7 linked regions of the Mus musculus genome follow. The protein of the gene in region 1 purifies or fractionates together with the protein of each later gene. This does not show direct contact. Links are inferred from orthologs where the notes say so. Each region holds a gene or a part of one and is shown in the gene's direction. Other genes may lie near its edges.

Evidence for each region.
Region 2: the proteins of Snrpd2 (region 1) and Snrpa1 purify together in Homo sapiens (affinity purification with mass spectrometry; 5 studies listed by BioGRID and IntAct, counting the BioPlex papers as one, with this or other methods). This does not show direct contact. The link is inferred for Mus musculus from reciprocal best matches to the Homo sapiens genes SNRPD2 and SNRPA1.
Region 3: the proteins of Snrpd2 (region 1) and Cdc5l fractionate together in Homo sapiens (co-fractionation; 3 studies listed by BioGRID, with this or other methods). This does not show direct contact. The link is inferred for Mus musculus from reciprocal best matches to the Homo sapiens genes SNRPD2 and CDC5L.
Region 4: the proteins of Snrpd2 (region 1) and Ddx23 purify together in Homo sapiens (affinity purification with mass spectrometry; 3 studies listed by BioGRID and IntAct, counting the BioPlex papers as one, with this or other methods). This does not show direct contact. The link is inferred for Mus musculus from reciprocal best matches to the Homo sapiens genes SNRPD2 and DDX23.
Region 5: the proteins of Snrpd2 (region 1) and Sf3a1 fractionate together in Homo sapiens (co-fractionation; 3 studies listed by BioGRID and IntAct, with this or other methods). This does not show direct contact. The link is inferred for Mus musculus from reciprocal best matches to the Homo sapiens genes SNRPD2 and SF3A1.
Region 6: the proteins of Snrpd2 (region 1) and Sf3b1 fractionate together in Homo sapiens (co-fractionation; 5 studies listed by BioGRID and IntAct, with this or other methods). This does not show direct contact. The link is inferred for Mus musculus from reciprocal best matches to the Homo sapiens genes SNRPD2 and SF3B1.
Region 7: the proteins of Snrpd2 (region 1) and Ddx20 purify together in Homo sapiens (affinity purification with mass spectrometry; 3 studies listed by BioGRID and IntAct, with this or other methods). This does not show direct contact. The link is inferred for Mus musculus from reciprocal best matches to the Homo sapiens genes SNRPD2 and DDX20.

What each region holds. Positions count from the first base shown.
Region 1 is NC_000073.6:19,148,655-19,152,637, forward strand, and holds the start of Snrpd2 (small nuclear ribonucleoprotein Sm D2), read left to right. Parts: upstream 1-1,183; 5' UTR 1,184-1,238; coding exon 1,239-1,240; intron 1,241-2,563; coding exon 2,564-2,743; intron 2,744-3,821; coding exon 3,822-3,983. Other genes in the region: Qpctl (glutaminyl-peptide cyclotransferase-like protein), read right to left, coding at 322-531. UniProt on the Homo sapiens protein: Plays a role in pre-mRNA splicing as a core component of the spliceosomal U1, U2, U4 and U5 small nuclear ribonucleoproteins (snRNPs), the building blocks of the spliceosome.
Region 2 is NC_000073.6:66,059,017-66,063,135, forward strand, and holds the start of Snrpa1 (U2 small nuclear ribonucleoprotein A'), read left to right. Parts: upstream 1-1,319; 5' UTR 1,320-1,594; coding exon 1,595-1,676; intron 1,677-3,107; coding exon 3,108-3,255; intron 3,256-4,119. UniProt on the Homo sapiens protein: Involved in pre-mRNA splicing as component of the spliceosome. Associated with sn-RNP U2, where it contributes to the binding of stem loop IV of U2 snRNA.
Region 3 is NC_000083.6:45,423,708-45,427,207, reverse strand, and holds part of Cdc5l (cell division cycle 5-like protein), read left to right. Parts: intron 1-526; coding exon 527-688; intron 689-1,228; coding exon 1,229-1,356; intron 1,357-2,607; coding exon 2,608-2,707; intron 2,708-3,500.
Region 4 is NC_000081.6:98,645,890-98,649,389, reverse strand, and holds part of Ddx23 (probable ATP-dependent RNA helicase DDX23), read left to right. Parts: intron 1-660; coding exon 661-903; intron 904-1,764; coding exon 1,765-1,916; intron 1,917-2,118; coding exon 2,119-2,227; intron 2,228-2,871; coding exon 2,872-3,046; intron 3,047-3,372; coding exon 3,373-3,500. UniProt on the Homo sapiens protein: Involved in pre-mRNA splicing and its phosphorylated form (by SRPK2) is required for spliceosomal B complex formation.
Region 5 is NC_000077.6:4,163,354-4,166,853, forward strand, and holds part of Sf3a1 (splicing factor 3A subunit 1), read left to right. Parts: intron 1-3,142; coding exon 3,143-3,350; intron 3,351-3,500. UniProt on the Homo sapiens protein: Component of the 17S U2 SnRNP complex of the spliceosome, a large ribonucleoprotein complex that removes introns from transcribed pre-mRNAs.
Region 6 is NC_000067.6:54,987,074-54,989,478, reverse strand, and holds part of Sf3b1 (splicing factor 3B subunit 1), read left to right. Parts: intron 1-1,323; coding exon 1,324-1,540; intron 1,541-1,986; coding exon 1,987-2,145; 3' UTR 2,146-2,405. UniProt on the Homo sapiens protein: Component of the 17S U2 SnRNP complex of the spliceosome, a large ribonucleoprotein complex that removes introns from transcribed pre-mRNAs.
Region 7 is NC_000069.6:105,681,267-105,684,571, reverse strand, and holds part of Ddx20 (probable ATP-dependent RNA helicase DDX20), read left to right. Parts: intron 1-118; coding exon 119-287; intron 288-1,041; coding exon 1,042-1,156; intron 1,157-1,276; coding exon 1,277-1,419; intron 1,420-1,556; coding exon 1,557-1,695; intron 1,696-1,787; coding exon 1,788-1,846; intron 1,847-3,305.

The sequences.
Region 1 (3,983 bases):
TGGGAGAAATCTTCAAAGCAAATCTGGTCCAGCCTACCGCAGTCCTAACGAGGAAATTGCAATCGGGTGATGGAAATTTCTAAATAGATGGCTTGGGCATAGAACTCAGTTCTACCAGTGTTGCTATGAGGACTCGTCATCTTCAGTGGGGTCTATCACAAAACAAGCCTGAAGCCTTATTTTGTTGGGTAGGGGCACGCGCTCAAGTCATGGATAAATGGCACAGGCGGCAAAAGCCAAATGATAAGACCACGGTAACCTGAGACTCAATACGAAGGGAAAGAGGGAAATGACGCTGGCTGGGCACCAGCCAGGGCTCACCCGCAGATCCCGGCTCCGTGACATCTCCTCAACCCCAGGGTGCCAGCTGTTCCAGACGATATAGAAAGCCAAGCCCATAGCCAGCGCCAGCAGCAGCAGGGGCAGGAACTGCACTCGCGGCAGAAGACGGCGCTTGGAAAGTGAGGGTGGTTTCATGAGGCCACGATCCTCGAGCCGCTGCCGGGGCCGCCCGCGGCTCCCGGGACTCATGGTAGCTTTGCTCTGAAACCAATCCCGGTATGGTGGTTTGAGTTTTAGGCCAAGATCCGCCTCGCTGAGGTTACAAAACCCAATAAAGAAGCAGAGTAACTGCGTCCTTCCCTGAGACGATTGCGATTGGCTGTCCTAAGCGCCGCCCCACCCAAAAAGGAGGGCGGAAACCTTAAGGCCCGCCTCCACGGAAGAGGACCAGTCAATGGGCTGCGTCCGAATGTGCGAAACCTTCCAAGGCGCGGGGTCACGCCCCTCACGGAAGTCGATCAAGAAACTGTCGTTCAAGGAAAAAAGGGGCGGCATCCATCCCTAAAACAAGGAGCCGATTGGTTTACCTGAAGCCATGCCCTCAAGAAAAGTGTCCGAGGGTATTTGGAAATGGGGTTGTGTTTTCCATCTTCCAACTGGACGGTTTGACGGGAAAATAATTCTAGTCAGACCCCGTATTATTTTCCTCATGAGCAGACACCCTATTGTGATCCTCAGAAGCTTCAAATCCTCCTTATAGGCATTTTCTACAGGAGAGTGCAGCCTGAAGGGTCGCTATGGTAACAGGCCACGCCCACAGCCGCTGGTATTTGGTTGCGCAGGCGCCGACGGAAGTGAGCCGCAGGAGACGGAAGTCCCGCCCTTCTCGCCCTGTACGCCAAAGGCTGGAGCAACGCGCTTGGAGGCGGGAGTGATCTGCGAGCGAAACCTACACCATGTGAGGCCGGGCTGGGCTTTGGCGGGGCCGTGGAGATGGAGGTGGACAGTTTAGCTGAATAACGGTCGAAATGGGGTGTTTTTATAGCTGAGGGTAGAGTTCCTCGGGCAAAAGTAATGTTTTTCCTTCTGGGGTATTTGAGATCGGGCTTGGGGCCTCGCTCGGATCTTGAGTTCCGGAGAGGGGACAGCTTTATTCCATAACGGGCATGAGACTCTCCGAGGTCCTGAGTCTTGTGGAAAGGAACCATAAAGGGAAAGCTGAGTCTGATGGCACATGCCTGGAATCCCAGGCCTCGAGAGGCTGATGCAGGAGGTTCGCTAGTTGGCCTTGGCCAGCTTCATAGCGAGACCGCTTCCAAAAGTAATAGTAATTTTAAATGGAAGTGGTCTTATGAATAAAGAGCTTGGCGGGGAAGGAAGAACTGTTAGAAATAGTGAAAAGTATGGGACGTAACCAGGATAAATTAGAGAACCTAACTAGAGACTGTCAGAGTAGCAGGGTACTACAGTGGTTTGGTGCGTGTTTATTCATTGAGCATATACTATGTAGACTGCTTGTAAGTTAAGACACATGGTAAATAAAAGGTCCTTGCCTCCAAGGGGGTGGGGGAATCTCCCTGGTGCTTGTAAAAAGAGTGGAGTAGGAAAGCCATAGAGTAATAAATAGGTACATACACCTTAGATAATCAGGTTTGGATGGAGAATTGAGCAGGAAAGATATAATGCCAGTAGGTAGCACAGTAGGATGCATTGAAAGCCCAGTTCTTGGGATGCAGATTTAGCTCAGTGGACAGAGTACTTACCTACTGTGGGTACTGGGTTTGGTCCTTAACCACACACAAACTAGACATAGTGGCACGTGCCTGTACTCCCAATACTCAGGAGGCAGAGACAAGTCTGAGTTCTGGGGCAGCCAGGCTTCTACAGTGAGATGTTGTGGGGTGGGGCGGAGGTTCATGGAGAGAGATGATTGAAGTTTAGGTTGCGGATAGAAAGGGCCAAGGTTTGGATGTACCATGGTGGCAGATGACAAGATATAAGGATAGAGTAAGGTTTGAAAGAAGAATCAACTGCCAGGCATGATGGTGAGCCTCTGTCATCTCAGACCTTAGGCAGTGGAGTCAGGAGAATTGAGAATTCAAGGTCAGCGGTGGGTGGAAGAGGTTAGGTAGATGAGCCGGGGCAGGCTACCATGGAAATGTCTCTCCTGCCTCCAGAAAAGACTGCACCAGAAAGGGGGCTGGGGAGACACTGGACAGTGTGGCTTTGATCACGTACATTTCCAACTTGAACCCATCTCACCCCTGGGTTCTCTATCCAGGAGTCTCCTCAATAAACCCAAGAGTGAGATGACCCCAGAGGAGCTGCAGAAGCGGGAGGAGGAGGAATTCAACACAGGTCCCCTCTCAGTGCTCACGCAGTCGGTCAAGAACAACACGCAAGTGCTCATTAACTGTCGCAACAACAAGAAGCTGCTGGGCCGGGTGAAGGCCTTTGACAGGTGAGTGCTGTCTTGGGGAGGGCTGGGTCTGGGTCCGAGGGGCCTGAAGGAAAGGTCATTCCAGAAGGATAATAAGGTGGGCACACACGGTGACAAAGCACCTTTAATCTCAGCACTCGGGGAATCACTATGAGTTGGAGGCCAGCCAGTGTCTCATGGCACGACCTAGCTCAAAAATGTAGAAAGTGGCGATGCTTAACCTTTTTATAATACATATCTTACGTGTTTAGGTGTTTTGTCTGCATATGAGTCTGTATGCTATGGACATGTCTAGTAGTTATCAGAATCCCCTGGCAGGAAATTGGACTGGAATTTCGATATTTGATTTGTTTATCTGTAGACCAGACATCAGTGTCAAATATCTTGTATTGCTTTGTAGTTTGTTTTGAGACAGGGTCTTTACTATGTAGCTCGAACTGGCTACAGATGTGGCAGAGGCTAACCTTACACTTCTAATCCTCCTGCTCCCATCTCCCGAGCGCTGGGATTACAGGATTGCATGAAGCATGCCGTCCTGCTTTATTGTTTTAGTTAGCATGGGACTTGCCTTGTGACTTAGCCATACACATCTGGCACTGTACTTTGCTCTTATTCACTGTCCTCAAGCAAGCATTTGTGGAAAGAACTGATCCAAGTGTGAACAATGGCCACCCGGCCCCATGAGGACAGGACTGTGCAGCACTGGAGTGCGCGTGTTGGGAGCCGTGTCTAACCCCAGCACCCTAAGACCCTCTGGAGGGAGCAAGTGCTTCTCTCCTGCTGTTTCTCTCAGAGTTAGAGTTAACGCCAGAGCCAGGGCCATTTTGGTGGGCTTTACTCTGCTGGGTCCTGAGTTCTTTATTCATCCAATCTTCACACCAGCCCTATGAAATAGACTGTCTCCATTTCATGAAGGGGGAAACTGAGGCACAGAAGGGACACTATAAAGTGAAATCACTTTGCAGCCTGCCCATCCCCACTGTGGAGCCTGGGCTTTCCTTATGCCTGCTGCTGGAGAGTTCACACAGTGCCAGGCAAAGGTGGGCACTCGGAATGCCCCCCCTTACTCCAGCTTCCCCCCCCACCCCTACCCCATCAGGCACTGCAACATGGTGCTGGAAAATGTGAAGGAGATGTGGACTGAGGTTCCCAAGAGCGGCAAGGGCAAGAAGAAATCCAAGCCTGTCAACAAGGACCGCTACATCTCCAAGATGTTCCTGCGCGGGGACTCGGTCATCGTGGTGCTGCGGAACCCACTCAT
Region 2 (4,119 bases), about 47 Mb from region 1:
TAAACTCACTCCAATAATCCTAGCACATGAAGATGGAGGCAGGAGAGTGAGCTGTTCAAGTTCCTTCTCAGGTCAGTCATTCCATGACTCAGCAGGTAAGAGAGTGTGTACAGCTCTTTCAGAGGACCAGAGTTCAGATCCCAGCAACCACGTGTAACCCCGACTTCAGAGTATCTGGCACCTCTGGCCTTTGTGGGTATCTGCACTCATGTGCCCAAAACCACAGAGATATAACAAATAATTTCTAAAAGTATTTTTAAGAGTGTTTTCTGCTCATGCTGAGGACCAGGGGTTGACTTCTAGCACACATGTCCAAAGGATCACAACGGCCAGCTCCAGGGAATTTTAGGCTGAAGCCTCCCCTGCACCTATACACAGGTGGGCATGTACATTAATTAGTAAGCTATGATTTAAAAAAAATACGCATATGATTTCGTGCATTTAAGGCTTGGCACTGTGAGAGGCCAGGGATGGTCACTAGTGAAGGTGCAGCCTCAGTTGGAGTTGATGGCCTAGGGCTGAAGGGGTCATCACGTATACACAGGTGGGCATGTACATTAATTAGTAAGCTATGATTTAAAAAAATATGCACATGATTTTGTGCATTTAAGCCTTTGGAGACAGAGGCCAAGGCTCTGCAGGTATATTGTATTCACTGTGGGGCACTCATCACATGGCAATTTCTGATATGTGTATTCCCCTGCACTTCGTATGAATTTTTTTGGTGTTGTTTGTTTGCTTGAGATAGAGTTTCTCTGTGTATCCCTGGTTGTTCTGGAACTGGCTCTGTAGGCGAGGATGGCCTCTATCTCCGAGATCCACCTCCTTCTGTCTCCAAACTGCTAGGATTAAAGGCATTCTCCATCACAGCTAGTCAATATGAATATCACTTATGGTTTATTTTATTTGTGTGTGTGTGTGTGTGTTTGCGGTTGCCGGTGTCTGAGGAGGCTAGAAATGGACGGCAAATCCCCTGAGGCTGAAGTTACAAGCAGTTGTCAGGTGTCCAGACGGATATTGGAATGCCAACTCAAGTCCGTTACAAAAGTTGCAAGTGCTCTTAACCTCTAAGCCACCTGACCAGCGCTTTGGTATGAACACCTAAATGTCTACAGGCTACAAGTTCACCCTCAAGCTTTAAGGTGACTGTACCAGGTCAGAAGGGTTCTGTTTTAAGGCAATCCAGCCTACGGGTCCTGCCCCTTACCTGCGGAAGCCCAAGTTAGACATTTAGGAACTTGACTTTCAGGAGACTTCACAGTCTCCGCCCCTTGTTGGGTGGAGAAGGGAGAGTAGTCCCAACTACCCCTCCCTTGAGGTTCACTGACGTGAGACAGAGCATCCCTCGCGTGTTCTTATCTTTTGGATTAAAAAAACTGGAATCTGGGCTCCCCACACTCCCAGGCACGCTCAAGCCCAGAACCCAGAAGCAAAGACACGGGGGCTACGTCTTCGATTGCTTTAGCCTGGCGGTCGAGCTGCGCGGGGATACGATTGGTGCTGTCTGGCGGCGAGGCGCGGTGCACTGTGGGACACGGCACTGGCGGGAGGCGCAGGCTGGTGTCGGAGGTGAGGGTCCGCGGGCTGCGACAGGATGGTGAAGCTGACGGCGGAGCTGATCGAGCAGGCGGCGCAGTACACAAATGCCGTACGGGACCGTGAACTGGACCTCCGGGGTGAGTTAGACGGAGCGCGGGCTGTGTTCCGGCCCCGGCGCGTGGCTGCGGGAAACCAGCCCCGCCGCGTGCGCAGAGGCTGGAGCCTGGCCCGTGGGCCTCCACCCGGGCTGGGCGCCTCCGATCCACCGTCCCGCAGGGCCCTTTGGGGCTGTTTGTTACCGGCGTTCCGGCTAGCAAACACGGCGCCTCGATTCCTTCCCCGGACCGTACTCACTAGGCATTGCCCCGCTCATCGAGCAGCTTTAACTGTTGGAGGACTAGGAAAATAGAAAACGCTACGGACAGGCCGGCTGCTGGCTGGTGTTTTTTGTTTGTTTGTTTGTTTGTTTGTTTGTTTGTTTTTTAGCAAAAGCGTTAATGTGGCACCTGAGGGTAGGGTGGATATGTACCAGAGTTACCTTAATTGCCCCAATAATTCCGGTTTGGTTTTGTTCATTTGTTTTTGAGACAACGTCTCGTGTATTCCGAGCTGACTTCAAACCGTTATATAGTTAAGGTTTATCTCGAACTTCGGACCCTCTTGCCTCCACTTCCTGGGAGCTGGGTTTAAATGCCTGCACCACGTTTATATGGTGCTTTGGATGAGCCCAGGGTTTCATGTCTGTCAGGAAAGCACTCGCGCTACTGAGCCAGACCCGCAGCCCCGGATAATTTGGTGTTTTCAAGATTGAGCTGTTTGACCGTGGCATAATGGTCACTTCTGTGTGTGGGGTGGCGGAACTCACCTGTTCAGTTCTGACAGAAGTAGCACTTGATTTTTAAAACATAGAACTGAGAGGTAATCGTTAACTATTCAGGAGATGGCTTTGGAAGGGGTTAAGATTATAAGACTGTGACCAGAGGCAATCAAAGTCTCGGGGGCGCTGTGCACTGCCATTTTTGAAAGTTTCTTCCTGCCTATGGGAAATCCTAGTGTTCTTTGTGTTTGTTGAATGAAATTAACTTTCTTGGAGAAAAGTCCGGTTCAGGAGCATCTGGGTCCTTTCACTGTCTTGGCACAGTTTTGATGTCTGCTGTCTCTCTGAAAACCGTGCAGTCTGGAGAATGCTTATTCTGCTACCATATCTTTTATTGCACTCCTTCACAGCTGGGTTGTGTCCTTCCTTATAGTACCTAGCTCAGTGACGAATGTGAATACCTCATAGACGTTCTTAATAAACCATGGGCACCAATACTAGTAAATATGCCCATCTGTTCTTCCTCTTGCCTTCAGCCTCTTCAGTTTTACTTCAAGCTTTGTAGCACTAAGGCCTCCACTTAACCCTTTCGTCATTTACCTTATTTTTGTTCAGTGCACGGCATGGTGCTAGTGCCTGGTTAATACTTCCCGAATGGGAGCGCTGAGTCAAATTCCATCACATACTCCTGCGATTTTCAGGACTTTTCATTTATATTAATATTTGTTGTATGTATGTTTTCCCTCTACAGGATATAAAATTCCGGTTATTGAGAATCTGGGTGCCACCTTAGACCAGTTTGATGCTATTGATTTTTCTGACAATGAGATCCGGAAACTGGACGGTTTCCCTTTGTTGAGAAGACTGAAAACATTATTAGTGAACAACAACAGAATTTGGTGAGTGACTGCTAGTGAGAATACTTTCTTCCCTTAAGTAAGTGTTCTAATGTACCCTGAAGATAATGGGGTTTTGGTTGTTGTTTTGTTTTGTTTTAATGTATATTAGTTTTTTGCTTGCAGGTACCACACACCCTCCTAGTGCCTCTGGAGGCCAGAGGAGGGCCTTGGCTTCTCTGGAGCTAGGTTTACAGATAGTCCTGAGCTGCTCCAGCTGTAGGAATAGAATCTGGGTCCTCTGGAAGATCAGCCAGGGCTCTAAGTTGCTGAGCCACCACTCCAGCCTGCCCATGTGTCTTAAAGGGAGAAATGAATAGAGCCCTTTTCCTAAGAGGTTGGAGATTAACTTGGGCATTGGCCTGACCTTACTTGCTACTCTTCAGAAATCTTTAATATTCGTAACTGACATTAAACTTTGAATTTGAAGCATTGTGCTATGTCAACAAATCAGATTTTAGAGTAGTCATCAATAGCATCATAATTAAAAAGATTTATAAAGGCCATGTGTAGTGGTATCTGCCTTTAATCCTAACACTCTGGAGTCTGAGGCAGGCTGATCTCTGAGTTCAAGGACAGCCTTGTTGACAGCAAATTCCAGCCAGGGCTACATAGTGAGACCCTGTCACAGTAAAAATCTTTTTATGAAATAAAGTTACTTTTCACTGAGTACCTATACCTCATCCACTATGCTGGTTTTGGTTTTTGTAGTTGGTTTCTACAATATAATTCTGTGAAATTAAGATCATATTTGTTTGTATGAGTGGGGTTTCTCTGTGAGCCCTGGCTGTCCTGGAACTCACTCTGTAGACCAGGCTGGCCTCAAACTCAGAGATCTGCCTCCCTTTGCCTTCTGAGTGCTAGGAT
Region 3 (3,500 bases), on another chromosome or scaffold:
GTACGCCTTTGATCCCAGCATGGAAGGCGGAGGCAGGCAGATCTCTGAGTACCAGGCCAGCCTGGTCTACAGGTGGATTTCTGAGTTCAAGGCCAGCCTGGTCTACAGGTGGATTTCTGAGTTCAAGGCCAGCCTGGTCTACAGGTGGAGTTCCAGGACAGCCAGGGCTACACAGAGAAACCCTGCCTCACCACCACCCCCCCCCCCAAAAAAAAAAACCCAAAAGAAAACAACACAGTTACCAACAAAAACCAAACCAAATGACAACAAAAAAAGATTAAACAAATAAATACTAGTTAAAGAAGTCACATGATTGCATTTTGCACTTCAGTCTATTAGGTTTTTAAGTATTACCAATCTTACGTACTTAAAATACATTGTAATGTGAAGAGGGGAAGAAGAGTAAGTTTAACTTCACAATGAATTCTCTTGTCAGAGATAGTATTGGTGATTGAGGGGTGAGAGCATGTGATCTTAGAGTCAGAACATGGTAATTGACTAACGTTTGCGATGTTGCCTTTAATAGGTACGAATGGCTGGATCCAAGTATTAAAAAAACTGAATGGTCCAGAGAAGAGGAAGAAAAACTCTTGCACCTGGCCAAGCTGATGCCAACGCAGTGGAGGACCATTGCTCCGATCATAGGAAGAACAGCAGCCCAGTGCTTGGAACACTATGAGTTCCTCCTGTGAGTGAAAACTGTGCATTTGTTAATGTGCTGAACAAACTTAGAGCATTTCCAGCTTGTGACTAAAGCCATAGAAACTAAAGTCCCCGAATTCTGTATTCCAGATGTCACATGGTTGAATAAAATTATGTCTTCTGCCTCTCCTTTAGAAGTGTGCAAGTCACACTCATCTTAGGGGGCAGAGAGAGAGAGAGAGTGTGTGAGTGTGTGTGTTTGTGCACGAGGCCCCATCGCCTGGGCTGCTGAGAGTTTATTAGGACCTTCTTGTTCTGTTCCAGCAGTGTGTTTGTCTGGATGTTCTGCATTTGTGAGGAAGGGCTGCTTGTCATTGGGTTTCACCATGCGTGGAAATACCGAAATTAGAGAATTTTAATGCCGTTTTATTCACGGGAAGCAATTGTAAAGATGCTGTTTTCCATAGTGCTCATCTGTTGTTTATTTTGGGAAGGAGAGAGTGCCAGAGCTAGAACTTCGGTAATTCTCATACTAAATGGTGTGATACGGGACTAACTCATCTGTGATTTTTTTTTTCCCTTCAAGGGACAAAACTGCCCAAAGGGACAATGAAGAAGAAACAACAGATGACCCCCGAAAGCTTAAGCCTGGAGAGATAGATCCAAACCCAGAGACCAAGCCAGCCCGGCCTGACCCGATAGACATGGATGAGGGTGAGTGGATGCTGGGGAGTGCTCAGCTCACTGTACAGGACTCAGGCCTTCTTGGTTCTCCTGTCCTGACTGTTAGAGACCCAGTTCTGTCAGTGGTTATTCGAGGAGGCGTCTCCCCGAGTGTGTCTGTCAGTGGTTATTCCATCTCCCCGAGTGTGTCTGGTCCTGTTTTTATTAGACTGTTTTTTTGAGGATGCCCCTTATTTTCTGCTTCTTCATTTCATTTAATGAATCGAGCAGTGAAGTAGGCAGATGTCCTAGAGGCGTGAGCCTCGAAGGATCCTGTCTCATTCCCTTTGTAGAAGGAGAGGCGACAAGCTAGCATGTCGGGCCTTGCTGTTTCTTTGACTTTAGGGTGATTTCCTTTCCAGGAAAGAGCTGTGCTACAAGAGCTGTGCTGGAGGCTCCCAGTGAGTCTGTGACACATGGAGTCAAGAGTTGGGGATTGGGCTTTGGCTCCATCTCTGCTATTTATTAGCTATTTGACCTTAGCTAAGTCATATATGCTTTCTGACCTTGAGTTTTCCCTGCTGAGGGTGGAGAATAAAATCTACTTTACCTTTTTGTGGGTACTTGGTAGTTTTTTTCAGATTTAAAGTTTGAATGCAGCGGTTCCCAAGAGTGACTAGTCTGTGAAGATGCTTTCTACATCCTTTCCACTTGGGGAACTTTTAAAGTTACAGGCACCAGGTCCTCCCCTGGAGATACTAAGTTGGTAATTCTTACTGAGGGAAGAGAGAGGACTGTGATCTGAGTGAAATCTAAGTCTTGTCCATCATTATGACACTTATGTTGTTGTTCTATTCGGGAGAGCTGTAGAAATGTCTTAGAGAAGAGACAGTTTTGAGGGAAGGAATGTCTTTGAAGGTTGTCTGTTCCCCGGGATGAGTTGTTGCTTTCTTTCTCTGCTGCTGCTGTGTTGGTGATTCGGATGTTCCTGTAGTAGAGCTTTCTGTGAGTGAATACTTGCTGCTTGCTTGAGATACGTCATTTTTCTTAGCATCTCTGAAGTAGACATTCTTACTCTGATTTTAATGGGAAACGTTCGCAGAGATAAATGTGGGACCAGGCTTACAAACTAGTAAGTTAGTGATGGGATGACTTGTAACCTGACTTGCTCTGACTCCAGGTTTTCTGTGCCCTGTACAGTAGTTAGTGCATGGATGCTTTTGTCATTGTGAGCCCTAGGATTTGCCTGACTGCTGATGTCAGAGAGGAGCTTACTTTTTTTTTTTTGTCTTTATTTTGCAGATGAACTTGAGATGCTCTCCGAGGCTCGAGCCCGTCTGGCCAATACTCAAGGAAAGAAGGCTAAAAGGAAAGCAAGAGAAAAGCAGTTGGAAGAAGCCAGGCACGTTTTTTCATTCTGTGTGCAATAATTAGTTGTGCATCCTTAGGCTCAGGAAATTGTATAGCTGTCTGTTCCAGTTGGTGACTAGTCTGAGCTGATCAATTCTCATTTTGCTATTACTCCTTAGTGTCTTTATTGATCTGGAACAAAAACAACTTCTGTATTTTCTCCCTATTTCAGAATAGTTATAGGAAAAGTACACTTAAAAGTTTACAAAGTATGGCAGAAATTATGGGCACATATTTGACCCAGCGTGCTCTGTTTAATCTCTTGTAGCATTTTGGCATCAGGTGGCTTTCACATGACTGTCAGTTCTTCATTCTCCTTGATTAGTTGGGCAGGTACTGGCTGTGAGGCTGATCATAGAGGCAATTAATGAGCCTTGAGCCAAATTCTAGGCTGTCAGAGAAGTCTTCATTTAAAAAGTGAGCGACCTTTATTAGGCATGGTTCTTTGCTCAGGCTTTCCCCCACCTTCTCCTTGCTTCCTTTTGGTTGAATTTATATCGTTCTGATGCCCAGAAGCCAATATAAAGTTGGTAAAGATACCATCTGAACTGTGTGGCAGCCTGTGGGATTCAGGTATTGGACAAACTCCCCATCCCACAGTCTACTTAGAACCTTTTTTTGACTCCTGCGCTGTCTAGAACTTGCTCTTGACCTGGTGGGTAGCTAGCACTGTGTTGTATTCCCAGTGCTGGATCCTGGGATAAAGGATGCTTTTTGGCATAGCTGGCCATTCATCAATGTAAGAGTAGTCAGAATTGATGGGCGTGTGATACACAAGAGATAGA
Region 4 (3,500 bases), on another chromosome or scaffold:
TCTCTGCCTCTCTCCTTCCACAGTGCTCCCTAGCCTCTCTCCTCCCACAGTGCTCCCTAGCCTCTCTCCTCCCACAGTGCTCCCTAGCCTCTCTCCTCCCACATTGTTCCCTAGCCTCTCTCCTCCCACAGTGCTCCCTAGCCTCTCTCCTCCCACAGTGCTCCCTAGCCTCTCTCCTCCCACAGTGCTCCCTAGCCTCTCTCCTCCCACACTGCTCCCTAGCCTCTCTCCTCCCACAGTGCTCCCTAGCCTCTCTCCTCCCACAGTGCTCCCTAGCCTCTCTCCTCCCACAGTGCTCCCTAGCCTCTTTCCTCCCACAGTGCTCCCTAGCCTCTCTCCTCCCACAGTGCTCCCTAGCCTCTCTCCTTCCACAGTGCTCCCTAGCCTTTTTTCCATCTAAGCTAGTTCCTCCTAATTCCCCCACCTGTCTAACCCTCGCTCTTATTTAGAAACCCCATTCACTCCTGAGGGAAACAGAAGGTACCAGGTGGTTTCATGTCCGATCTCTGGGACCTTAAGTACCAAATCTGGCTGGAGGTTGAGGTCCAAGCTCCTTAGCATTGAGGGTCTGTTGCCTAGATGGGTAGATAGTTCACAACAGAGGGGAAAAAGATGGGCGTTGTCTGCTAAGGCCATCTGTGATCACACTGTGTCCTCCAGATTGTGATCGCCACCCCGGGGCGCCTGATCGATGTGCTGGAGAACCGGTACCTGGTGCTGAGCCGCTGCACCTACGTGGTTCTGGATGAGGCGGATAGGATGATTGACATGGGCTTTGAGCCAGATGTGCAGAAGATCCTGGAACACATGCCTGTCAGCAACCAGAAGCCGGACACAGATGAGGCTGAGGACCCGGAGAAGATGTTGGCCAACTTTGAATCAGGAAAACATAAATACCGTCAAGTAAGGCGGCTTTCTTGGGAGAAGCTGAACCAGTTCCCAAGTCTTGTTTGCAGACCTTCCTTGCCCAGGGAGGGCCCAGTGCACATGCCTCCAGCATGCTAGCCGTGCCTGTGTACAGTCCTCTGACTGCCGAGGGGTAGAGCCATGTAGCTTAGCCTAAAAAGCTGATTCTAGAGAATCATGCTACTGCCAAGGAAGGAAAAAGTGCCAGGCATAGTGGTTCCTGCCAAAGCCCCAGCATTCAGGGGGAGGTGGAATATGGGGACTGAGCTAGCTTGTCTGATACGTGAGCTCCAGGCCAGTCAGATCTATGTAGCAAGATCCTGTCTCAAAAAAGTAAACAACAGTAAGGACTGAGGGGCTGGTGAGCCAGCTCAGGAGTGAGGAGCACTGGTTGCCCTTCCAGAGTTCAGTTCCCAGCACCCACTTGGTGGCATCTAGAAAGGGCTCTGATGTGTAGGTGTACAGAGAGCGCTCATGTATGAAAAAAAAAAAAGCCGGGCGTGGTGGTGCACGCCTTTAATCCCAGCACTCGGGAGGCAGAGGCAGGTGGATCTCTGTGAATTTGAGGCCAGTCTGGTCTACAGAGTGAGTTCCAGGACAGCCAGGGCTACACAGAGAAACTCTATTTTGAAAAGACAATAATAATAATGGTGATGCTGATGTCAGGAATCAAGATGCTACCTGGATCACAGGTGGTAGCAAACGCTCCCAGTCCTTCCTAGCAAGAGACGAAAAGGCAAAGAACAGTTTCCAGGGTGACAGTGTGAGAGTTATAGCAGGACTCATGGTTTTAACCTGAGTTGGGCTGCTTGTGCTGACAGTCTGCCTGGGTCCAGGGCTGAACCTCCTGTTTTATAGACAGTCATGTTCACGGCTACTATGCCCCCAGCGGTGGAGCGTCTAGCCAGGAGCTATCTTCGGCGACCTGCTGTGGTGTACATTGGCTCTGCAGGCAAGCCCCATGAGCGGGTGGAACAGAAGGTCTTCCTCATGTCGGAATCAGAAAAGAGGTATGGGGGAGGCTGAGCGGGGAAACCTGGGTGCTTTTGTCTGACACTTCCCTTTGTGGGGCGGCTGTCGGGTGGGTGCTTTACTGTTTCCTTTCTTGTAAGGTCTCTGTTGACTTTGGAGTTCATTCATTGCTGGGGTTGAGTGTTGGGCTTACTGAGTCTGGAGGGTATTGTGTACCTCATTCTCCTCCCCCACCCCCAGGAAGAAGCTGCTGGCCATCTTGGAACAAGGTTTTGATCCGCCTATCATCATTTTTGTCAACCAGAAGAAGGGTTGTGATGTGTTGGCCAAGTCTCTGGAGAAGATGGGGGTACGTCTGGCAGGCAGAGCAAAGCCAGCCCTGGTGCTGCTGCTCTCTGAAACTAGGAATGGAGTGGGGAGTGTCGGCTCCACTCACTGTTTAATCTTTACACCATCTAACAAGCCAGGGCCAAGAGAAAGGAGTGAGAACTGATCAGTTACTAGAAATCCCTTCTAGTCCCGCCACAGCAGCCAGATGCCGTTCTCTGTCTAACAGGGGTGGGGCCGGGGAGGCAGGTCCTGGCATGGCAGAGTGTGAGACTGTAGACAGCGGGTCTGTGCTCAGATGAGCACCATGAGGATGGAGAGGGGAGGGGTGCCGATGACCAGGCCTGTACTGCTAACGAGGGAAAGGGACTGTCCTCTCTACTCAGCTCCTGCCATCCTTACCCCCTAGCCCGTTACCTCCCCACCTGCTTGGCTCTTCATCTCAGCACACTGGGCCTCTGTCTCTGTTCTACCTGCCCCCCCCTACCCCCAGAACGCCGTGTTGTCTTTCATTTCTTGCTCTAGCTCCCATGTTCTTTCCTCACTTCACTGAACCCCTTCTCTGGCTTCCTGTGCCCTCTCCTGCCATCTGCTCTCTCCCACCTTCTGCTCTTGGACCTCCCTGGTCCCACTCCTCTCCCTGAGCCCATTGCCTTCTACCTACAGTATAACGCCTGTACACTGCATGGCGGCAAAGGCCAGGAGCAGCGAGAATTTGCATTGTCCAACCTCAAGGCTGGAGCCAAGGATATTTTGGTGGCTACAGATGTGGCTGGCCGTGGTATTGATATCCAAGATGTGTCTATGGTTGTCAACTATGATATGGCCAAAAATATTGAAGGTGAGTTGCTGAGAGGGTTAGGAGAGACTGCTTATATTCTCTCTCAGAGTCAGGGTGCACTGGGAGCCTCTGCTTTAGTCTGGAGTGACATCCCAGTGTCAAGGCTGACCCTTGATGGTGTGGAGAGTGGTGCTGGCTAGGAGAGCCTTAGTGTTGTATGCGACAAGTCGGCAGTGGGGTGGAGGATGGGCAGAGTCGCGAGCACTCTGGCTTTACCGGGTGTAGACAGCAGGAGGTGGGTGGCTTGCCTGTGGAGTGGAGTGGGGTGGAGGTCTCTGTAGACCAGACGACTGGCTTGGTCCCGAGTGACATCCTCTGTTCCCCAGATTACATTCACAGAATTGGCCGCACAGGAAGAGCGGGCAAGAGTGGCGTAGCCATCACCTTCCTCACCAAGGAGGACTCAGCGGTGTTCTATGAACTGAAGCAGGCCATCCTGGAGAGCCCAGTGTCG
Region 5 (3,500 bases), on another chromosome or scaffold:
TGGGCATGGCATGATACATACCTGTAATCTTGGTGCTAGAAAGGACTATTGGAAGGTAGAGACTAGCCTTGTAACACAGTGGGCCCTGTTTTAATGACAGGAAATGGAGGCTGGAGAAGTGGCTCAGAAGTTAAGGCCGCTTTCTGCTCCTACATAGGACCTAAGTTTGGCTCCCAGCACCCATGTCAGGCAACTCACAACTTACAGAATCTGAATACACATGCATGTACACATGCCTACACAGAGTCAATTTTCCTTTCCTTTCCTTTCCTTTCCTTTCCTTTCCTTTCCTTTCCTTTCCTTTCCTTTCCTAGAAAAGGAAAACGAAGTGGATTGCAGCCAGTCATGGCACATACCTTCAAGTCCCATAATGTATGAGGCAGAGGCAGGTAGATGTCTGTGAGTTCAAGGCCACTCTGGTCTTGTGAGTTTTATATCAATCAAAGCTAAAAACAAAAAATAAATGAGTTGGTTGTGTAGCTTAGTGATAGAGTGAGTGTGTGTTTCCATGTATAGAATATGATTTCTATTTCTAGTAGTGTAAAAATCTCACCATGTTTCCAGATGGGTTTTTTTATCCGTGGTGATCATTTTTGTAGGGATTCTAAAATCTGAAGTTGAAATGACTCCATGGATAATGTTTGCAATACAAGCATTAGGACTTGAGCTTGGGTCTCCAGCAACTGCAGAAAAGCTTGGGGGAGGGGGGGTGCTTGGGGGAGGGAGGTGCGCGAGTGCGCCTGTGTGTGTGTGTGTCTGTCTGTCTGTCTGTCCCCAGCCCTGATGAGTAAAGGTAGGCCACTCCTTGGAGCTTGCTGGTTGGCCAGCCTGCCTAACCGTGCCATAATGGTGAGTTCCAGGTTCAGTGTAAGACCCTGTATCAAAGACTAAGAATGAAAATGATACAGGAGGCCTCTGGTCTCCATGTGAGCATAAACACATGCGTTTTCCCCCCGCCCCCTCAGAAACTGCAAATAAATTCAGATCTTGCTTTTGCATGTTTTACAGTTAAGGGGCAGGTCAGAATCTTGGTCTGAGAGAGCTGGTATTTAGATCTCTCCTCTGCTAGGCCACATACTCAGGAGGCAGGCGGTGGGTATCTGCAGTCAAGTCTGACTTTGTAAAAGGAGCTTTTTCTCTGTCGAGTCTTCCCATTCCTGCATTTTCCTTTCAGAAAGCTAGATTGGAAATTACCTTCAAAAAGCCCTGCCAGCTGGGCTGAGTTAGAGTCAGGCTCTTCTGCTGAAATCTGTCTCTTGTGTTAGAGGATCTAATTCTAAAATTAACAGTAAGCCAACTTAGAGCACTGGAATTTCTTGGAATAAGAACATCTGCCTTCCCTGATGTGTTGAGACCATGGCTTAGGAGGCAGTACTGCAAGAGACAAGCAGACCTCCAGGCATGGGACCTGATCTGGCAGGACCCAGAGCTGTATCCATCCTGCTTGTGTATGGTTTGCATTACATAGGGAGGTAGGAAATGCTTCTTTCCACAGCATGAGGTTCTAATTGGCCTAGTGCACAGTCAGATTGAGACCTCATGTATTAGTCACGCTACAGGGCGGGACCAGAACTTGCTAGAGGCCAAGGCTTCCACAGTCTCTGCCTCTGGATCTGTGGTGATGGCTAATCTTAACCTTAAAGTTGCCTGCATCTTGTCTGCTGCTCTGTTTAATTGACAGAACCATGGGTGTGAAAGTCTGGAGAAAGCATAGCCTATCTGTCACTAGTCCCTGGAACCTTGGCTTGGTATATTTGGGGCACCTCTGAATGCAGGCTTCTGGCCAGAGAATCAGGGGAAGCCCCCAGGGTATCTCCTGATAGGCCAGTCATCTCCAGTGTTGGTGGAACTGCCCCTTCTAAGCTACACAGTGGTAGCTGCCCTCTGTGTTTGCAGACCATTGTATTCAAAAAGTCTTGAGCATCTCCTTAAATACTACTTAAGTAAATGTTTTCAGTATTTGAAGATACAGAGGAAAAGTGGTATTAGCCACATTTGACATATGGGAAAAAGTAGTGAACAAGAAACTTGAAGGTATCTTGTGTCTTTTTAAGACTTATGTGCCTTTTAGCAAGTGTGATACTCGGAGCTAGGTTTGGTGGCACACTTAACTGCACCTAGAAGTAAAGGTAGGCAAGTCCTGGCAGGGCCAGTCCTTAGCCTGGACTTGGGAGACTGTATCTCAACAAATAAGAGAAAAAAACTATGGTTCTTGAGTTATATCCACTGAGACCCTAAATATCAGGATTCTCCAAACATTTTCATTATCCTGGAGTACGGCATTTCTTTAGTGTGGGTATACACCCGTATGTGTGCATGACATGGACACACACATACACATGGATCAGACAGAGTATAACTTGATGAGAGTCAGTTCGCCCACCCTTTTACCAACTGGAACCAGAACTCAGAGTGTCCATCATGTCAGCAAGGACCTTTACGCACTCAGCCACCACACTGTAGCCTTATCCAGGATATATACAGAAGATAGAAATCTTGCAGAGCAGTTTTTCCTTCGTGAACCTCCCAGTCATAAATGAAGTTACTTTAGGCAGTACTTGGGCAAGACATTAATACTTACTAGCTGTTCAAGGTTTTTATCCTTTTTGTTTTTATGGAGCTTGGTACCCAATCCAGGGCCTTTTCGACCTTAGATACGTACTCTACAGTTATGCTGCATTCTTAGCCAAAGAATAAGTGTTTTATTACAAGAACTAAGCAGTTGCTCAGCTGATTGTGGGTATCAGAAGTGGCAGGGGAGCTAAGGAACGGCTGTGGTGGAAGCAGCCAGGCCCACACTGTCTGGTGGCACCGACTGATTCCTTGATGCTCAAAAAACAAACAGCTTCCTCAGTGCTCCAGGGCAGCTCTCCTATCCTTAGGCATGGACTGCTTGGTGAGTGGGTGGTGGCACAGATGGTGAAATAGAAGGAGATTTGGGTCTGAGTGGTCACAGAGGTTGTAGAATTCTTTTTTTTTTTTTTTTTGGCTTTTCGAGACAGGGTTTCTCTGTGTAGCCCTGGCCGTCCTGGAACTCACTCTGTAGACCAGGCTGGCCTTGAACTCAGAAATCCTGCTGCCTCTGCCTCCCAAGTGAATTCATTCTTTGGTATGTTGTTTATCTTATTTTAATTTTTTACAGAAATGGGCCTGAATTTGAAGCTAGGATTCGACAGAATGAGATCAACAACCCCAAGTTCAATTTCTTAAATCCCAATGACCCTTACCATGCCTACTACCGCCACAAGGTCAGCGAGTTCAAGGAGGGGAAGGCTCAGGAGCCCTCAGCTGCCATCCCCAAGGTTATGCAGCAGCAGCAGCAAGCTACGCAACAGCAGCTGCCCCAGAAGGTTTGCAGTCCAGCCTCTCTTTGTGGGTTAGTGGGCGGGCATAATTATCTCTGCTGTGCACGATCACAACCACCATGGGCAGAAATAAAGTTACCATCAGCTTCTAGAAGCTTCTGCACACTGGTTGTGAAGCTCTGTCCTCCAGGCTGA
Region 6 (2,405 bases), on another chromosome or scaffold:
GTAGCCTGTAATCTCAACTACTGTGGAAGCTGATGCTGGGGGATTGAAACTTTCCACGCCAACCTGTGCACCTGCCCTGTCTCACAACAACATTTTGAGAGTTAGGTGGGGGGTTGTAATTCAGTGGTAAAGCACATTTCTGTCATGCAAGAAGCCCATATATAGATTCAGTCCCTGGTATAGCCAGTTACTCAGGGACCTTCATAAAGGTCATTTTATAAACAGATTTAGTGAGGTACTAGGAAGTGCAGATGTAAGTTATGGAGTCAGTCTGAAAAGGCTACCTTTCTGGGACCAAACAAAATAGCAGTAAATCACCTTGCTTCTCCCTTAGACTGCTTCTTAGTGAGGAATTCCTGAACATTACAACTGTTGAGAGGTGGGACTTGAGGTTAAAAGTTTTGTTCTGAATGGATGGAATTTTGTGAAAAGAAAACATGACTTGTCTCTTCACATACTGACTACAAATAAAAGTGATAGTAGAATTGAAAATTTGGCAAACTTTCTGTTGTGGGGGCTGTTATTCATAAGAAAAAAAAGGTTCTTGAATATTATACTGCAAAATATATTTGAATCTCATATACTCAGTTAATATATCAAATTTATTTATAGAAAATTTAGACTCCTGTCAAATCTTTTTGTAATTTTCATGTAAATTTAATCACCAGAATAATTTTCTATTCATTCTTTATTGAGATCTCAACTGTTTTAGAAAGGTTTTCAAGTTCATAATATTTTGAAGTTCATAAAATTTTGAAGTTCATAATATTTGTTGCTTCTATATTTATTTTAAAAATACTGTGCTTTAGAGATTGTTTTCAATTCTAAAGAAATTTTTAGAAAGTGTGCAAGTTGAGGTAGTAACTTGAAAATTACTAAAAAGAATACTTCTTCAGCTGTGAAACATTGAAACTTTATCATTAAATAAGTTAGATAGCAAATTATAGTGTTCAGATTTTTTTCCTAATGCCTTTGAGGGGTTGTTAATATTTTGGCAGAAAGTATGAACACTATTTTGGTTGCACTCAGTATATGAATAATAGATTGATATGTCCTGGATACAAATTCAGATGCTGCTAGAGATAAAAATTCTTATTTGTGCAGGTTTAAAAACCTAGTAGATTTTTCTCTTAAATTGAATTTTTGAATGAAATCATACCAGTTTGAGAACAAATTTCATTTTGACTTGTGACTTAACTATCAAATATTTAAGGTTACAGAATTTAAAATGAGATTGACTCCTGAGAGTAATTAGTTCCGCATGTACAAGTGAATATAAAAATGGGACTGATTTAAAGAGACTTTTCCCTTCCATTATTACAGGGACCTTGTTCACAGACAGACAGCGAGTGCAGTGGTGCAGCACATGTCACTTGGTGTTTACGGATTTGGCTGTGAGGATTCTCTGAATCACTTACTGAACTATGTGTGGCCTAATGTGTTTGAGACATCTCCCCATGTAATCCAGGCAGTTATGGGAGCTCTGGAGGGCCTGAGGGTTGCTATTGGACCATGCAGAATGTTGCAGTATTGCTTACAGGTAGGTTAAATGTGGGTTTTTACTTTTTTTTTATTAAATGCGGGGATTGCTCAAAAAATTACTTAAATATGTTGAAGTCAGTCATTCCCTAATTACCATGTGGAAGACAGTTCTGTATTGAGATACAGATTAGATTAAATTAGGTTAGATTTTGTATTTACCCACCACAATTTTGTTACTCAGTTTCCAGACTTTTTTTCCTTCCCTCTTCAAAGTAAGTACTTTTGTTTTATTTTATTTTTTGAGCCTTGGCTGGCCTGGAACTTACTATGTAGACCAGGCCAGCATTGAAGTAGATAGATCCACTTGCTTCTGTTTCTAAGTGCTAGGATTTAAATGTGTGTGCCACCATGCATCATATTTATAGCTAATAGTGTATTAAAGTTTGTTTATTTATTTATTTTCCCCTTGAAGATAGAAGTAACTCTACCTTTTATTTATTCTAGGGTCTGTTCCACCCAGCTCGGAAAGTCAGAGACGTATATTGGAAAATTTACAACTCCATCTACATTGGCTCCCAGGATGCTCTCATAGCACATTACCCACGAATCTACAATGACGATAAGAACACCTATATTCGTTACGAACTTGACTATATCTTGTAACTTTGTGTCTAATACAGCTGTTTCACACCTTAAACCTGCTTCAATCTGATGATATAAACTTGTAAAACATTGCCGATCAGTGTAGAGCTGGTCATAGTGGAGGGATAGAAATCCAGTAGCATGATTTTTAAATAACTTTTGTTTTTTTGATGTTAAACAGTAAATGGCAGTAGTGACCAAGGACAGTGCTTATACACACTATACTGGAGGGATATCATTTTTTATTCATCTTTATGAAGATTTAGAATTCATTCCTTGTG
Region 7 (3,305 bases), on another chromosome or scaffold:
GCTGAATTTTTCTCTTGTCTTAAAACTCATCTCTTAAAATGTAGTGTATTGCAACAAATGGATGTACCACTCAAATGTATTCCTCTGACTTGTTAGAATGTTTTGCAATTTATTTTAGATTTTGATATTGGCTCCCACAAGAGAAATTGCTGTTCAGATACACTCGGTTATCACAGCCATTGGAATAAAAATGGAAGGATTAGAATGTCATGTCTTTATTGGAGGGACTCCATTATCACAAGACAAAACCAGACTTAAAAAGTGTCATATTGCTGTTGGATCTCCTGGTAAGTCATTAAGACCTCTTGGTAGCTGAAGTTCTTGAAGACTAGAACAGTGAGCATGCCAATCAAATGGGAGTTTTGATGGTGGTGATAATTGCTTTCAGCATAAATGGAAGAGTATTAGACCAGAGAGACACATGGCTGGGTTTTCAACAGAATCTGTTCCTCTCCATTCTGAAGAGTGTTGGAGAATACCCATGGGATCAGCTTCTGAGACCTGAAGTGACTTTAGGAAGCCTGTTTAAGCCGTGGATTGAGGTTTCTTTTGTTCTCTCTGGTTATTTGCTCACAAATCACTCAGAATCAGAACCTAGGATTCAGTGCCATAGCATTCAAGTTTTGTTTTTGTTTTTGTTTTCGAGACAAGGTTTCTCTGTATAGCCCTGGCTGTCCTGGAACTCACTCTGTAGACCAGGCTGGCCTTGAACTCAGAAATCCACCTGCCTCTGCCTCAGGAGTGCTGGGATTAAAGGCGTGTGCCATCACGCCCAGCTAGCATTCAAGTATTTTGGTAGCAGTAATGTTTGTTTATTAGCAGTAATGTTTGTTTACCAAAGTTACTGGTGATGAAAAGGGAGGGGACAAAGAATGGATTCAGACTTTAAGATTACTTAGACCGTTAGGTGGTATGTAACGGTACACTGTAAGGAAATTAAGCAGTCTAACCTGTGGATAAATACTGTAAAGCATTCCTGAGGTTTGTACAGATTTGATATGTCATAAGTATTTCAGGTTTTGTTGTTTTCCTGCCATACAGGTAGAATTAAACAGCTCATAGAACTTGACTACCTGAATCCGGGCAGTATCCGTCTCTTTATTCTTGATGAAGCAGATAAGCTTTTAGAAGAAGGCAGTTTCCAGGAGCAAATAAAGTAAGAAAACTAGCCTGAATACAAAAATGTTGCACCAAAGCATTTCTCTATAGCTTTCCCGGTAGTGTGTGCTGTCTGCATGGTGTGTGTTCATGGTGTGTGCTTTCCTGTATTTTACAGTTGGATTTACTCCTCTTTACCTGCGAGTAAGCAGATGTTGGCAGTATCTGCTACTTACCCTGAAGTTTTGGCTAATGCTTTGACAAGGTATATGAGAGATCCCACTTTTGTAAGATTGAATCCCAGCGATCCAAGTCTCATAGGTGTGTATAGATTTTACATTATTAGTTTGTGATGTCCTGGGGCTTTCCCTCGTCTGATTGGCTATTTCCATGTCATAGTTGCTATTGGAATTTACCACACTTGTTTGTTTTAACTGGGACTCTTGACTTCTTTATAGGTTTGAAGCAGTACTACCAAGTTGTCAATTCTTACCCTTTGGCTCATAAGATTTTTGAGGAAAAGACTCAGCACTTACAGGAACTTTTTAGTAAAGTCCCATTTAATCAAGCCTTGGTGTTTTCTAATTTGCACAGCAGGTAATAGAACTTAATCTAGGGAACTTAAAAAACCTAAAGACTAGGGCATGGGGCAGTAGTTGAAGGTTGTAAATCTTTTTCTTTTTTTGTAGAGCTCAACATTTGGCTGATATCCTTTCTTCTAAAGGTTTTCCTACTGAATGCATTTCAGGCAAGTTCAGCACTCTGTTTTTGTTTAATGTATTGCTTTGAAGCCTTCCATGTCATGAGAGAAAAATATCACTTCTCAAATTGTCTCAAGAGTGTGATGTCAATCTCCTGTTTTTTTTTTTTTTTCTTTTTTTTGTGTATGTTTTGTTTTGAAGGAGTAACTTGGTGTATAGTAATAATTTAGAAAATCAGTGATCAGAAATACTTAAATTTTTAATTAAAATCTCTGAGTTATACTTGCAAAGAACTTAATACTACAAAATAAACTCTATCTTCATTGTCTTGAGATATATTTTGTTCAATATAATCAAGTCATTATTAAAATGCTTAAAAATTAAACAAGGTATGGTGTTGCATGTCCTCTAGAGACAGAGGCAGGAAGATCATGGGCTTAAGGCCATATTTGCATATGCTACATTTTAGGTCGTTATAGGCTGCATAGAAAGCAAACATGCTAAGACTAGCTGAGTTTTGATCTATCGTCTCTGCTCCCCTACCATCAGACTTGACCTTTTATATATATGTGTAAGTGCTCTCCTACTGAGCTATACCTCCCACCCATGAATCGACTTAATGTTCATCCACAGAGTTTGTTAATTGCTGGATTAATAGAAAAGATTTAAAGGAATTTTTGGTCAGTGAGCTCCTTTGTTTTATATGCTGTAGTGTAATTTTTCACTTGTTAGCTGGAACATGCTCAGTATTAGGAAGACTGTTTCTTTTTTTTTTAAAGATTTATTTATGTATTATATGTAAGTTGTCTTCAGACACTCCAGAAGAGGGAGTCAAATCTCATTATGGATGGTTGTGAGCCACCATGTGGTTGCTGGGATTTGAACTCGGGACCTTCGGAAGAACAGTCGGCACTCTTAACCACTGAGCCATCTCGCCAGCCCAGGAAGACTGTTTCTTAATGGTCTGCTAGCTTAACTCTGGATCACATTTCAAACCCAGATAAGTGGGCTATTGAAGGGATTCAGTGTTAAAAGCCTTTCCTGTGCAATCGTGTGCACAGGAATTTGGATCTCAGCACCCACGTGACAAGCCAAGTAGTATTCTTGCCCCTGGGGATCTAATGTCTCTCCTGGCCTCAGTGTGCATAGGCACATTCACCTGTATACACAGACACAGAGACAAGCACACAGACCCGCAGATCTTAAAAACAAGATTCATAAAGAGCTAGGAAGAACATTCACTGTCAGACACATAGCTACAAGCATTGCAGACTCACAAATCTTAAAAAAGAGTTGGAAAGAACATTTTTTCTTTAAGTATTTATTGTTAGACTTTGTAATGTTGCCATTTAAAATTGATTTTTGATTTTCAAATTGATAGCCTAAATTATACTTTGAAAAATACTGACTTTAGATTTTAGCACTCATATTTGCACAGAACAGAATTAACTAACTGGTTGGTATATTTCTTTAAAACTTTAAGACTGGGAGTTAGGATTCTTGCTT